2 linked regions of the Saccharomyces cerevisiae S288C genome follow. Changing the gene in region 1 together with any one later gene gives a genetic interaction. Each region holds a gene or a part of one and is shown in the gene's direction. Other genes may lie near its edges.

Evidence for each region. A genetic interaction does not mean that the proteins touch.
Region 2: mutations in YKL070W (region 1) and ERV15 together harm fitness more than expected from each alone (negative genetic interaction), as found in Saccharomyces cerevisiae (2 studies listed by BioGRID).

Annotation. Positions count from the first base shown.
Region 1 is NC_001143.9:302,646-310,414, forward strand, and holds YKL070W (uncharacterized protein), read left to right. Parts: upstream 1-3,565; coding exon 3,566-4,075; downstream 4,076-7,769. Other genes in the region: OSI1 (Osi1p), read left to right, coding at 2,469-3,239; YKL069W (L-methionine (R)-S-oxide reductase), read left to right, coding at 4,640-5,182; YKL068W-A (uncharacterized protein), read left to right, coding at 6,561-6,797; FG-nucleoporin NUP100, read left to right, coding at 7,554-7,769.
Region 2 is NC_001134.8:641,399-646,478, forward strand, and holds ERV15 (Erv15p), read left to right. Parts: upstream 1-4,151; coding exon 4,152-4,580; downstream 4,581-5,080. Other genes in the region: DUR12 (bifunctional urea carboxylase/allophanate hydrolase), read right to left, coding at 1-812; YBR209W (uncharacterized protein), read left to right, coding at 1,185-1,502; AME1 (Ame1p), read right to left, coding at 4,760-5,080.

The DNA of each region.
Region 1 (7,769 bases):
TTTAGGTTGATATATTGGTAATGATATGTTATCTTACTCTGAGATGCAACATATATGCTACATACTGAACTCATTTATCCAATATTAAATTAAGAGATTGGTGAATTTTGAGGTATTTGTTGGCAGATCTAAACTTCATCATGCTCTTCTTTTTCTATGTATCTAATCTTGTATTTTATCTTCATAGAACACTGTTATCTCTGCTCTTTTCAGATATAGTCGTCATTGTTTGAGGTGATCTATCCTATTTTAAAACGTGAATATTCCAAGATGAAGCGGTGGCTCAATGGTAGAGCTTTCGACTCCAATTAAATCTTGGAAATTCCACGGAATAAGATTGCAATCGAAGGGTTGCAGGTTCAATTCCTGTCCGTTTCATTTTCTTTTTTTGCCATACATTTAGCGCTCCACACTCTAAATAAAGTATTTCTTCTTTTCTTGAAAATGATGTACTTAGGTTGATGAAATAGCCTCAGTTACTGGAATTTCCTTACCTTTGTCGTGTTACTGATAGTATATCTTAATCATTATTTCTTGTTTCAATCTGGATTTTGATTTGCGCGGCATATCGTTACCGCCTTTTGCATATTATAAATGGCTTATATAAGTATACAGCAACTTTCATATATTATAGATAGGTAATTGCCTCCACATCGAATCACATAGGATAAAGAACCGACTTCCTGCCGCGAATTTAGAGTTTTCACGTTATGTGACCATCTCAATTTTTAGAATATTTGCTAAGCCACTTGCTATTAAAACTTCATGGACAGGCCCCAGTATTATCGCAATAATACTGGAAACATCAACGAATGCTATAATAATGCGCATTTACTTTGGGCAAAAGAACTATTTAAAATTACGCATTACGTAGTTTATTTTGACATTATGATCATAAACATGCGCAAATCCTAAGATCGTGAATTACCTCTACTGCGAGAATACAAATTATAACATATGACTAACGTTACACAACATTGTATTACATTTCTGACTAATTTGAAGTCTGGGAGTTAATTGTAGTAGCCTACTAAATAGCGCGGTTATTTATAAAGCTAACATTACCATGTTACATGACATGCTATTTCTAGCGAGGTAAAAGCATTGCTCCGGCTTTTCGAAGATAAGTATTCCTTCAATTTCCAAATGTCACAACATAAAATTTTGATTTGCGTTATCTCTCGTTCTCTTTAATCACTACAATAGCATCAACCAAGTCAATAAAACATGTTGTGAAGAGACTACGCAGACGTGACGGTCATCTAGCAACTCTCCATCTTTTGATGCAGCCATCCACAGTTTATCGTGAGTTATGGCAAAATCCAAAAATGTACCGTACCATTTCCTCTTTAATCCTGTATTCAATAAGCAAGTTCCCCATTTCAATTGATCTACACATCACTGCGCGTTAAAGCGCACCTAATTTATTCGGTAGGAAACAGAAATAGTCTGCAAAGTCATTCAAGCACCTTTCTTTACCAAATGAAAGGATTTAATAGTACCTATGAAACAATAGTTCGAACTTTTGCCATTTCCCGGTTTTTTTGGCCAGCTTGTATAAAAGTGCACCTTACCCTTATATTGGGCTCTTATTGAATGCCTTCCGAAGAACTGACTATTCAAAAAATAGAAACAAGTACGTCAATAAAAAATTTTGCAATTCTACGAATAATTATTCCTGTTTCTTTAACCTGGTAAAAAAAAGTACAAACACTTAAGCTTTTTGAAACAGCTTTATTTTGCTTCATTAAATAGCTAGGATAAGAAATCCCTCATCCGAAAGGTTTTGTATCTAACTACCCTAGAGAACATTTGTCCTGATCAGGTTCATTTGGAGTTTATATTTTTTAGAAGCTCAAAGTTTGTTGGACTCATTACCATGGAAGAAAAAAAGAAGATACTACGAAATATTGGTTTCTCAGGTTAAATAAGGGACACCATTTTCCTATTAGGCTAGTCGAGCTTAGTTCTTCTAATTTCTTCAGATCTTCTATAATTTCCTATCTTCTACCTGATGTGTGCATGATATATCTATGAGCTCCTGATATTGCTTGTTTTACTTTAGCTTGCATGACTTGCAATAATCTAATCATATATGTTCCCGATTAATATACTGTGCACAAATTGCAGGACATATAATTTTTCCGTGGATTATATCTTCGATTAACGTCCGCGGGTCTCATAAAAAGCAAACCAACTTCGCAATTCCCTAGAAATACCTCAATAGAAAGTTATTTGTAATGAGATTAGTAATGAGATTAGCAATGAGATTAGTAATGAGATTAGTAATGAGATTAGTAATGTGATTAGTAATGCATAGCGGTATAAATGGTAGTACTAATAAGTAAGATAGTATACCAGTTATAATAAATAGGCGGCGATGCTTCAAAACTAATTTTTGACGTTTTTAAGAATAAAGCCTTTACCAGTGGCATAAATCAGTAGAATTCTAAGCAAACAAAGTCGATATGAATACTTCATCAAGAATAACTTACTTTATCATCGGTGGTAGCCGTGGAATTGGTTTTAATTTGGTCAAAATTTTAAGCGCTTCTACGGGCAATACAGTTATAACCTCTATTCGTGGATCACCTTCATTACCCAAGAACAAACAAGTGGAAGATTTAGCAAAAATCAGGAAGAATATCCATATTGTCCAACTTGACCTTACAAAGGACGAAAGTATTGGCAATATTGCGGACGAGATCAAGAAAACGCCATTCTTCTTGGGTATTGATATTTTTATCGCATGTTCTGCAGTATCTGATTCTTATTACAAGGTCCTGGAAACTCCCAAATCAGTCTGGCTCAACCATTATAGCACAAACGCTCTGGGTCCGATACTAGCCCTTCAAAAAGTTTATCCACTGCTTCTTTTGAAAAAGACGAGGAAGATATTCTTTATCTCTAGTGTTGCAGGATCTATCAATGCGTTTGTACCACTTTCTGTTTCCGCTTATGGTCAATCGAAAGCTGCCTTGAATTATGCGGTAAAGACGCTCAGTTTTGAATTGAAACCGGAGGGTTTTACTGTCGTTGCTTTTCACCCAGGTATGGTATCTACTGATATGGGCCAATATGGCCTTGATCATTTTAAAGAGAAGAATATAGACATCAGCGGCGTAAATATTATCACACCAGAAGAAAGTGCCTCTGCGCTAATTGATGTCTTCCGAAAAATTTTACCAGAAGATAATGGAAAGTTCTTCAACTATGACGGCAGCGAAGGCGTCTTTTAGATAAGTGCAAATTTGGCTACTTATATACAACTCAGATACGGAATATACCTTTGTGTAATACACTTTTTTATTGGTAGGTGCTATATGATGTGACTTTGCTTTTGCCTCACGCCCCTTTAAGAAGGTATTTTGTGGCATCACTTTGTATGCTGATCTTTTAACGCTTAACCAGATTTGAAACTATCTCTATTATGTCCTCTGATTTTAATTAGGATGGTATATAACTGGTCCTAGAACCGAAGATTCTGCATATTCGCCGAAAACCATCCCTTAATATTATAGACATAAATTGCCAGTCTGAGAAGAATCCAAGAATCTATTTCATAATGTACATTCCTAAACATTTTGAGTCCATGGAACTCTCAAGGTACAAATTATCAAAAAAACCCCCGCTAGGAACACTATTCTCCTCTAAGGCTAGCAGGCAAGGTTTCTTCGGATGGAGAACTTCTTCCAATAAAGATGACCCCGATTTTGGTATGTGCGCATCACATATTCCATTTGTATTCGTGGAGTTCGATAATGGAGAGCATAAACTTATTGCACATTTAGCACGGAAGAATAAACATGTGGAAATGCTGGAAAGAGTTCAAAAATGCTTAGTGGTATTTCAGAGCGTCGATTCATACATTTCTCCGGCGTGGTTCCCAATGAAGAAAAAGACCCATAAGTTCGTACCAACATGGGATTTTGCCGCTGTGCACGTTTACGGTACACCAAGGATTATCCGCGACGATAAAGACTGGCTTATTAATATGTTATCAACTTTGACTGACCAAGAAGAAGAGAAAAGACCTGAGGGGGAAAATGTACGAAGTAAAGTGGAGCGTTTCTGATGCCCCAGATTATTATATCAATGCTATGCTTCAAAACATTGTCGGGCTTGAAATCAGTATTACCCATATTCAATCAAAGTTCAAATTCGACCAAAATAAATCACAGATTAATGTTGAAGGCATATGTTGAAAATTCAAAGAATTTGGTGGAGAAAGAGGCCAAGAAATGGCTCGCCTTGTAAAAGATAACTATCCAGGTAGCTTATAAGTTTTGTATTTTCTCTGCGCATTAAATATCAATAATTATTTATTCGTTTTCATTCTTTTCTTATCTTATCTTTTAATATTGACTTAACAGAGGGCAAGGCCCACCGTGATGCAGAAAGAACACAAACGCAAAGGTTTACCTATTCCCTGCAGTTAGAAAACCATGTTTGGAGGAAATGAAGAAAGATATTTACAGTTGAGTTTACAACGAAGTATTATCCTTTTTAACGAACGCTAATATCATCGGTTTCTTCATGTTTATATGATGACGATTTTCCCAAATGTAAGCAAACAAAGGCGTTTGCTGATAAAACAAATCCGTAAATTAGAAAAAAAAACAAAAAAAAACAAACAGATATGGGCTCATCAACCGGGTTTCATCATGCCGATCATGTTAACTATTCTTCAAATCTGAATAAGGAAGAAATTCTAGAACAGCTTCTGCTTTCATACGAGGGGCTATCAGATGGACAAGTCAATTGGGTTTGTAATTTGTCAAACGCTTCGTCATTGATCTGGCATGCGTACAAGTCATTAGCTGTTGATATCAATTGGGCTGGATTTTACGTTACTCAAGCTAGCGAAGAAAACACACTGATATTGGGCCCATTTCAAGGAAAGGTCGCTTGCCAAATGATTCAATTCGGTAAAGGTGTTTGCGGAACTGCAGCCTCTACAAAGGAAACGCAGATTGTTCCAGATGTCAACAAGTATCCCGGTCATATTGCGTGCGACGGTGAAACCAAGAGCGAAATTGTTGTTCCAATCATATCCAATGATGGTAAGACATTGGGCGTCATAGACATAGATTGTTTGGATTACGAAGGATTCGACCACGTAGACAAAGAATTCCTAGAAAAACTTGCTAAATTAATTAATAAATCATGTGTCTTTAAATAAGAGTTTTGAGAACGAACAAGTATTTACGCACATAACCAATATTCCCATGTAGCTCTCTTGTCAAATATATTGTCGGACGGGCACGAATAGAGATAAACATCAAGAAAGATTGAGGGGCTTCAGGAGATCATTGGTGAAGAAAACATTCCCTGTTCGCCAAATTGACAGCTCTCAATCTTTATTTGTAACCCTTATTGCAAATTTATGGCATGTTTACCCTCAAACAAAGGATATTCAGCATTTATTAAAAATATCTTTGCTTGGTAAGAAAAAAACGTCAACGAAAATGACGGAGATATCTGACGGAAAAAAAAATTGATTTCGCCCAGGATCGAACTGGGGACGTTCTGCGTGTTAAGCAGATGCCATAACCGACTAGACCACGAAACCACTTAATTGTTGAATAACGGACATCTAAAGTCATATCTATAGTGCAGCAAGTTCTTCTTCAGCTCACCCCAGTCTCGCTAAAGGCATGCTTACTTTGCCGTAAAGAAGAAAGGAACGTTCAAAATGTGTTTGATGCGTAACTGTGATGATTTTCTATCATTTACTTGCATGATATCGGTGAAAATTCTAGCTAGATTTATCAATGCATAGAAGCAGTAAGTGATGCCACAGATATGAGCTTTTCTCTGTGGCGAGGTCTTTGAGAAATTAAGTGGCTTGTACAGTTTTCACATGACGATTGGAAATGTTGAAAAAAGAGCCTAAAAATAGGCCTTATCGAACAACATTAAACTAATAATCTTCTGGATGCGATAGTCTTACTTGATAAAAATCATTGGCGATATTGTGTTACCTGGATTATCAAGCTCGCCACTAAAGGTGTCTGGATCCTTACTCAATACAAAGTCCAAGGAAAGGTGTGCCACAGGAAGAGGTAGCATCCCTTTATTTCTTTTCAAGGAAAGAAGCATTTTCAATCACATATGTATACAATAGTCTTCCGTGTGGCTGCACCGCACCACCTTGCAGGTCCCGTGTATGTAGGAGTCGCATGCGAATAAAAAATTGAGAAAGATCATGGGGTTTTTTGTTCACGCGGGCCGCAGTTGTGGCTCCTCTGTCACTTTTTTGCCCTCTGCTAAGGGCAAAAAAGAAAAAAAAACGCAACGAGAAAATTAAAAGTGTGGCATTTCGACATCTATCGCCATTCGTGCGGCCATTTCTCGAAACAACGCTAAACTTTTGTTTCGACTGTGAGGCCCTAGAACAGTTCGATTCTGATGTAGGCAATGGAAGAAACAATCATATATAACTACAGAACCTAATGTTACATGCTTGCATCTCTCAGCTCCCGCGAATTTTCAAGTGAGACTTAATGGTAGCCATCTAGTAACTCATAAATCAACGACATTATATATCATCAACTACAATGCAGGCAAACCATTCCGTCAGTTACCTTTACGAATCAAGTACTTCAAAGAGGTCAAATGGGCTCTTTTCTCAAACACAAAAGCAAGGAAGTTTTCAAAAAGCTTTAAGTCAAACTCAGGAAGAAATAGAAGATGAAGACCTGATGGTAGACCTCAACACAGGATCTTTAACTCCCGTTAAGTTAAAATATTGGACTCAAATGAGTGCTATGACGGAAAAATTTGGTAAACTGTGAGACCAATTTTGGCGGTAATTTCGTTTAGCTGTTTTATTTTCACATTTTTAATTGTCAATGCTGGAGGTTGTTAAAGTTTGGCTAGCTGTTCTGAACAATCCTTGTATACCGGTGAGACTTTTTGTTATAGATATTGGCGATATTCATTTTTTAGGAAGGTGTTTTTATAGATTTTTCAATTTTTTTTGTGTAGATGCATGTTTTGATTACTTATGCATAGTACGAATTTTTAGTTTATTAAGCTATAGAGGTTTTTTTTTTTTTCACCTCTTTACCACAAATTTAATAGCTATTGTGTAGAATAACTTTTAATGGAAAACATTTGCAGTATTTTAGTATTTTTCTACCTGTTTATTGCAAGTAAGGGCAGCATTATCCTGATAGGAGTAGAGGTTAACCGCACATCGGAATGAGACTTCTCCAAGAACGTTCTCAAAGTAAAACATTTAGCATTAGGAAATTTCTTTGGTCGATTATTAGACAAAGATTAGATTGTATTATGTTCTGATGCTTAGTTAGAACGGAAAGTGTTACCCATCTTGCAATCACCGTGACACCTTAAATATTTGCCGTAAGCGAAGAAAAAAAGCATGAAAAAAAAAAGCATATTTATGCTGAAGTCATCTACAAATGACCACCGCTTTTGGACCTGAAGAGGAGAAGAAAATAACATATCGTAGAACAGTCTTTGTTAACCAAAATATTTTAGCTTTGATTCCGGACTATTAGTACATTGAATTTTTTCAGGTACTAACAATGTTTGGCAACAATAGACCAATGTTTGGAGGGAGCAACCTTTCCTTTGGATCAAATACGTCATCCTTCGGTGGGCAACAATCGCAACAACCAAACTCTCTTTTTGGAAATAGCAATAACAACAACAATTCCACCAGTAACAATGCCCAATCAGGATTTGGTGGATTCACTTCTGCCGCTGGCAGTAATAGTAACAGTTTATTTGGAAATAACAAT
Region 2 (5,080 bases), on another chromosome or scaffold:
ATATTTTTAGGAATAGCAATCGTTACATTGCTTGAAAATTTTTTCAAAGGGTTGGAAACATAGGGTCTAGAATATTCATCATTATCAGGATCTGGCTGGCACATGATGCGGAAGCAGCGTTCAGCATCACTTAGGTTTAATGCAAAGATGGAGACGCAGTCTAAAGATTTACAAGCGGGAACTACACCTTGACAGGAAAAGACGCCCTTTGTTGGCTTTAGGCCAATCAGGTTGTTCAAGGCGGCTGGGACTCTACCAGAACCTGCTGTATCAGTACCCAATGCAATTGGTACGATACCTCTGGCGACCACCGATGCTGACCCAGCGGAGGAACCACCAGATACATGCTCTTTGCTAAAAGCGCAAGGTGTTTTCCCATATGGAGACCGTGTGCCGACTAATCCTGTGGCAAATTGGTCCAAGTTTGTCTTACCCACGATTATCGCACCTGCATTTCTTAGTAGTTCTACTACTTTAGAGTCTTTGGAAGGCTCATATGCAAAGGATGGACATGCAGCGGTGGTGGGTAGACCTCTAACGTCGATGTTGTCCTTAACAGCAATAGGGACACCGTAGAGAGGTAGAGTTTCTTTATTTTCTCTGCTCTTTAAAATTTGGAATTGGTGCAGTAAATTTTCCTTTGAAATTAGCGATATCCACGCATTATCGACTGGCGCAACATTTTGAGAGTCTAGTAGTGATTCAAGAAGCCTTAGTGAAGCCTGGGAGCTTGATGACTTGTGGAAATCAATCCAGTCTTGGATTGACCAACCTAACGATATTTCAGCAGTTGTATCGGAACTAACTGTCATTTTTTAATCAAAACTGAAATTTATTGTGACTATAAAAAAGATATTTCTATTTTTTATCTTTTATATTAATGTAAATTGAAATTTGGTGTATATCAGCTGCTCCACTGATATATTAATATAAGCTTATAAAAACTTGAGCCTATATGATCCTAGAAAAAAAAAGCTTAGCTAAGAGAGCCTGATATTCAGAAGTGAGCGAGTATACAAATCTCACACCTCATCTGCTCTAGTGTTTAAATACAAACATTCAATTTCCAACAACGTCTAACAAAGCTCGATTCAAATTAAGAAGCAGGAAAAAGCAAAACATCTGCGTGTCTTATCTCAATGGCTTGCGCTAACTGCGAACAGAGTGCCCTATGAAATAGGGGAATGAACGCATATTGGTTTCATTATAGAGCGTCAATCAAGAAAGAGGCACCAAACTATAAACGCACATTTCTCGGTAGGGCTAGGAACGCTTTCCTGCTTATCTTATCTGAAGCTTATTTATTGTTCGTTTTTTTATCTTATCTGATAAGGGGAAAAAGCCTGGAAAAGCGCGTAAATGATGAGGCGAAATGCAGCCAAAGATGCGTGCCGTTGCAGTTAGCTAACAACCTGGCGTTCGGCGATCGCCATAAGAGATCTGCCAATTTTAAAAAGGGTATTGCCAATACACATAGTAGCCTTATCTGCAGCAAGCCATAGGACTAATGTGTTCGACGTCGTTGGGGAAAAAAAGCAAAGAACATGTTGCCTTTGAGGAGACTGCAGCAAGAAAAAAAGTTCAATAAGGATTGCAAAAAAAAAAAGAAGCTCGCACTCAGGATCGAACTAAGGACCAACAGATTTGCAATCTGCTGCGCTACCACTGCGCCATACGAGCTTTCTATTACATGTGGGAAGACTAATATAGATAGTATAGTCAATTATACGAAGTAGTGCCAGCCCCACATATAAGAGAACGGTGGAATATTTGAACTGTATGCAAAGAAGTTTCAGCGGGGACCTTTATTTTAGAAAAAGCGAATAAATGTCGCTCATTTGTTTAAACGGTATTTGTTGGACTGAGGGTTGCTTCCATACGGAAATGCTAACGAAGAGGATGTGCTGAATTTTGCTATGTTTGGAATGGGCTCCTCCATCTGGGAATGATAATCATTTTTATTATTGTGTGTTCAAATACACTTACACATCTGTTTTTTCGTGGTAAGGAATCCGAGAATCACATGAGGTTTGGGATAGTTGCTGGCAATCAATGAATGACATCAGATAAAACGAAAGGAGAAATAATATGTTGATAATTAGAGGTTAAAAATTAGTATTAATGAAGAAATAATTACTGATCTTCTTATACTAAATAAGAGAGGTATATAAAACACACGCCGATTGGTCATATTAATCATGACCAATATAATAGTGATTCCGGTAGTTACTATACATTGATGTGACGACTCATATTCCTCATATATGTACCTACCATAACATGTTCAACTAATAGGTCTTTAACACAGCTTCAGTATTGTCTGAGCTTCTCGTTTAACATTCCTTCTGCAATAGGCGCAATCACACTTAAACGTATACGAGTTGTACATTAATATACGATGTAAGCATTGAATTGTTACCATAGCAACTCATGTCACTATTAATTACTCTCGTTCCAACATAATATTATTATGGAGTAATATCTATTCCCTTTCGTGGATTCCAAGATTCTCGAGGTATATTTCCAGTATATTTTGTATACCTGATATTATAGCCTTTAGCAACAACGAAATCAACATTTATCTCAAATTTCACCTGTTTCTCATTTTTAAGCGCCTAGCCCATCTAATCATCTTAACTATTCATCAGGGAAAATTAATATACATTGTGCTCTTAATGTTTCGAAAAATAATCAAAATCAATAGAAATAGCGTTTTGCTACTAACAAAGCCCTTTGATCCAAAGTTGGCTTCTGAGAACTTAACATTTCAGTAGAACAAGCCTCAAGCTTAAATGAAGAATGGCAAAGTAAATGAGACCTCTCTCTCCATATTTTGCTCAGAGCCTGTTAAGGAAAACAACACCGCACATTAGTGTGAAAAACTTTCCCCGCAAGCTGTTGGAAGATGAATCATTTATTATCTTTTGACTGTTAGCTACATTACTAGCTGTTATCAATCTCTCAGACGATTATATGAATATTGAGATAGTTGTTGGGATTAACTTATTGTTAGAGGCTATAGCATCAGATATACAAAATAAAATAAAAAGTTCTCCTCCAAGATATAGTGTAATCGATATTTCGATGTAATGCCATCATTATTTCTTCTATTTTATGTATTCCTATTGTCCTCTAACATTGTATCTGATAATATTCTAGTAATAGGATTACCATCACTAAATGATAGTTAATTCTCATTCCAAAACCGACTCCTGTCAATATTGAGGACCCATTTATTCCAACGGTCCAAATCCCCAATATTCCCTGCTCGGCAAGAAGTTAGAAAACATATCTTTCGTGCTCTTGCAGGCTTGCTGTATTATCATAACCGAAGGATGACCAACTTTGATCACCCCAGGTGGCAAAAACATAATACATGGTGGTGGTGTCGTTGTAAAAATCATCTTCTTTGGGTGTGTATAGGATCCCATCCAACACACGTGTTAAAATGACATCAGGTATCAATGCTAATCCGTCGTCACTGACAATAAGCTGAGTTGACATCACCTGATGATGTGAAATAGTAGCAAGAGAACTAGGGTAAGGTTCATGCTGGTTGTTTTCCTATGATGACCAACCTTTGGAATTGGGTAATTCTAGGTGTAGCCTGCTAGCCATCAAACGAGACCTTTCAAAATCTTCAGTCATTACATTTTCTTCTGTAAATAGGGAAAAAAGCCTTTAGCTAGGATTGTTCGGCAATAGAAAGCCCTCCAGTTTAAACTTGACATAGAAAATCTTTAAGGTTAAATCAAACATAAGTTATTATCCGATATAGTGTAACGGCTATCACATCACGCTTTCACCGTGGAGACCGGGGTTCGACTCCCCGTATCGGAGTTATTTTTTGTTTCTATACCATTATTTTTCTTGAATGTTGCATTATGATAGTATAGTTTTGCTATACAAACTTCAATTCTCAAAACACAGTACGTCTAGCTCACTACTACTCTCTCTAATTCAAAATCGTTCACTTCTATCGAAAGCTGTGATAATTTGGAAATATTGTCGTGGGCCACGAATGATTTTTCAATTACATTGCTAAATACGAAGACATTAATACCTTTATTCATATAAGCACTTTCATTATCATTTTTTACTAAAGATAAAACTAACTGCAGGCACCAAGAAGTTCGAAGCCAAGAGTAAAGATGTCAGGAACCGGATTATCGCTATTCGTGACGGGTCTTATACTGAATTGTTTGAATTCCATTTGCCAGATATACTTTACTATATTATATGGTGATCTTGAAGCAGACTATATCAACTCAATCGAACTGTGTAAGAGGGTGAATAGGTTGAGTGTACCAGAGGCAATTCTACAAGCTTTCATTTCTGCATTGTTTCTTTTTAACGGGTACTGGTTCGTATTTCTCTTGAATGTCCCTGTTCTAGCATATAACGCAAGTAAAGTCTACAAGAAAACACATCTACTGGACGCCACGGATATTTTCAGAAAATTGGGTAGATGCAAAATTGAATGCTTTTTAAAATTGGGATTTTACCTTCTCATATTCTTTTTCTACTTCTACAGAATGGTCACAGCGTTACTTGAAAATGATGCAAATTTGATAAGCTAATAGCGACAACAGGAAAAAAAAAGAGAGATTTGTGCATATCTATGAAGTATGTCTACCACATAAAAATGACCTTATAACACAACTTCCTTAGTATGGAAGTAATACATATATACATATATACATATATACATACATATATATATATATATATATATATATACATCTTTTGAACCAATTCCCTATAGACTTGGTTGTAATTCGTTAGAAAGATTTTCATTAATTTTATTTATCTTTTTCAGAAGTCCGTTATATGGATCCATCAAGTCTACGAAATGTGCAATATCCAGAATATTTGAGTCATCCCGTATTGAATCGTCCTCGCTATCTTGGCTCATAATTTTGCGATCTCCCTCGTATTTGCCTAGCAAAGTAGAAGTCAAATCATTTAGCCTCTTATTTAGCTTCACTTTGTCGTTCAGTTTGGCTTGTTCATTTTGTAAGTCATGCCAGTCTTTACCGGCTTTCAACTCTTGAATTTCATTTCGTACCGATATTATCTG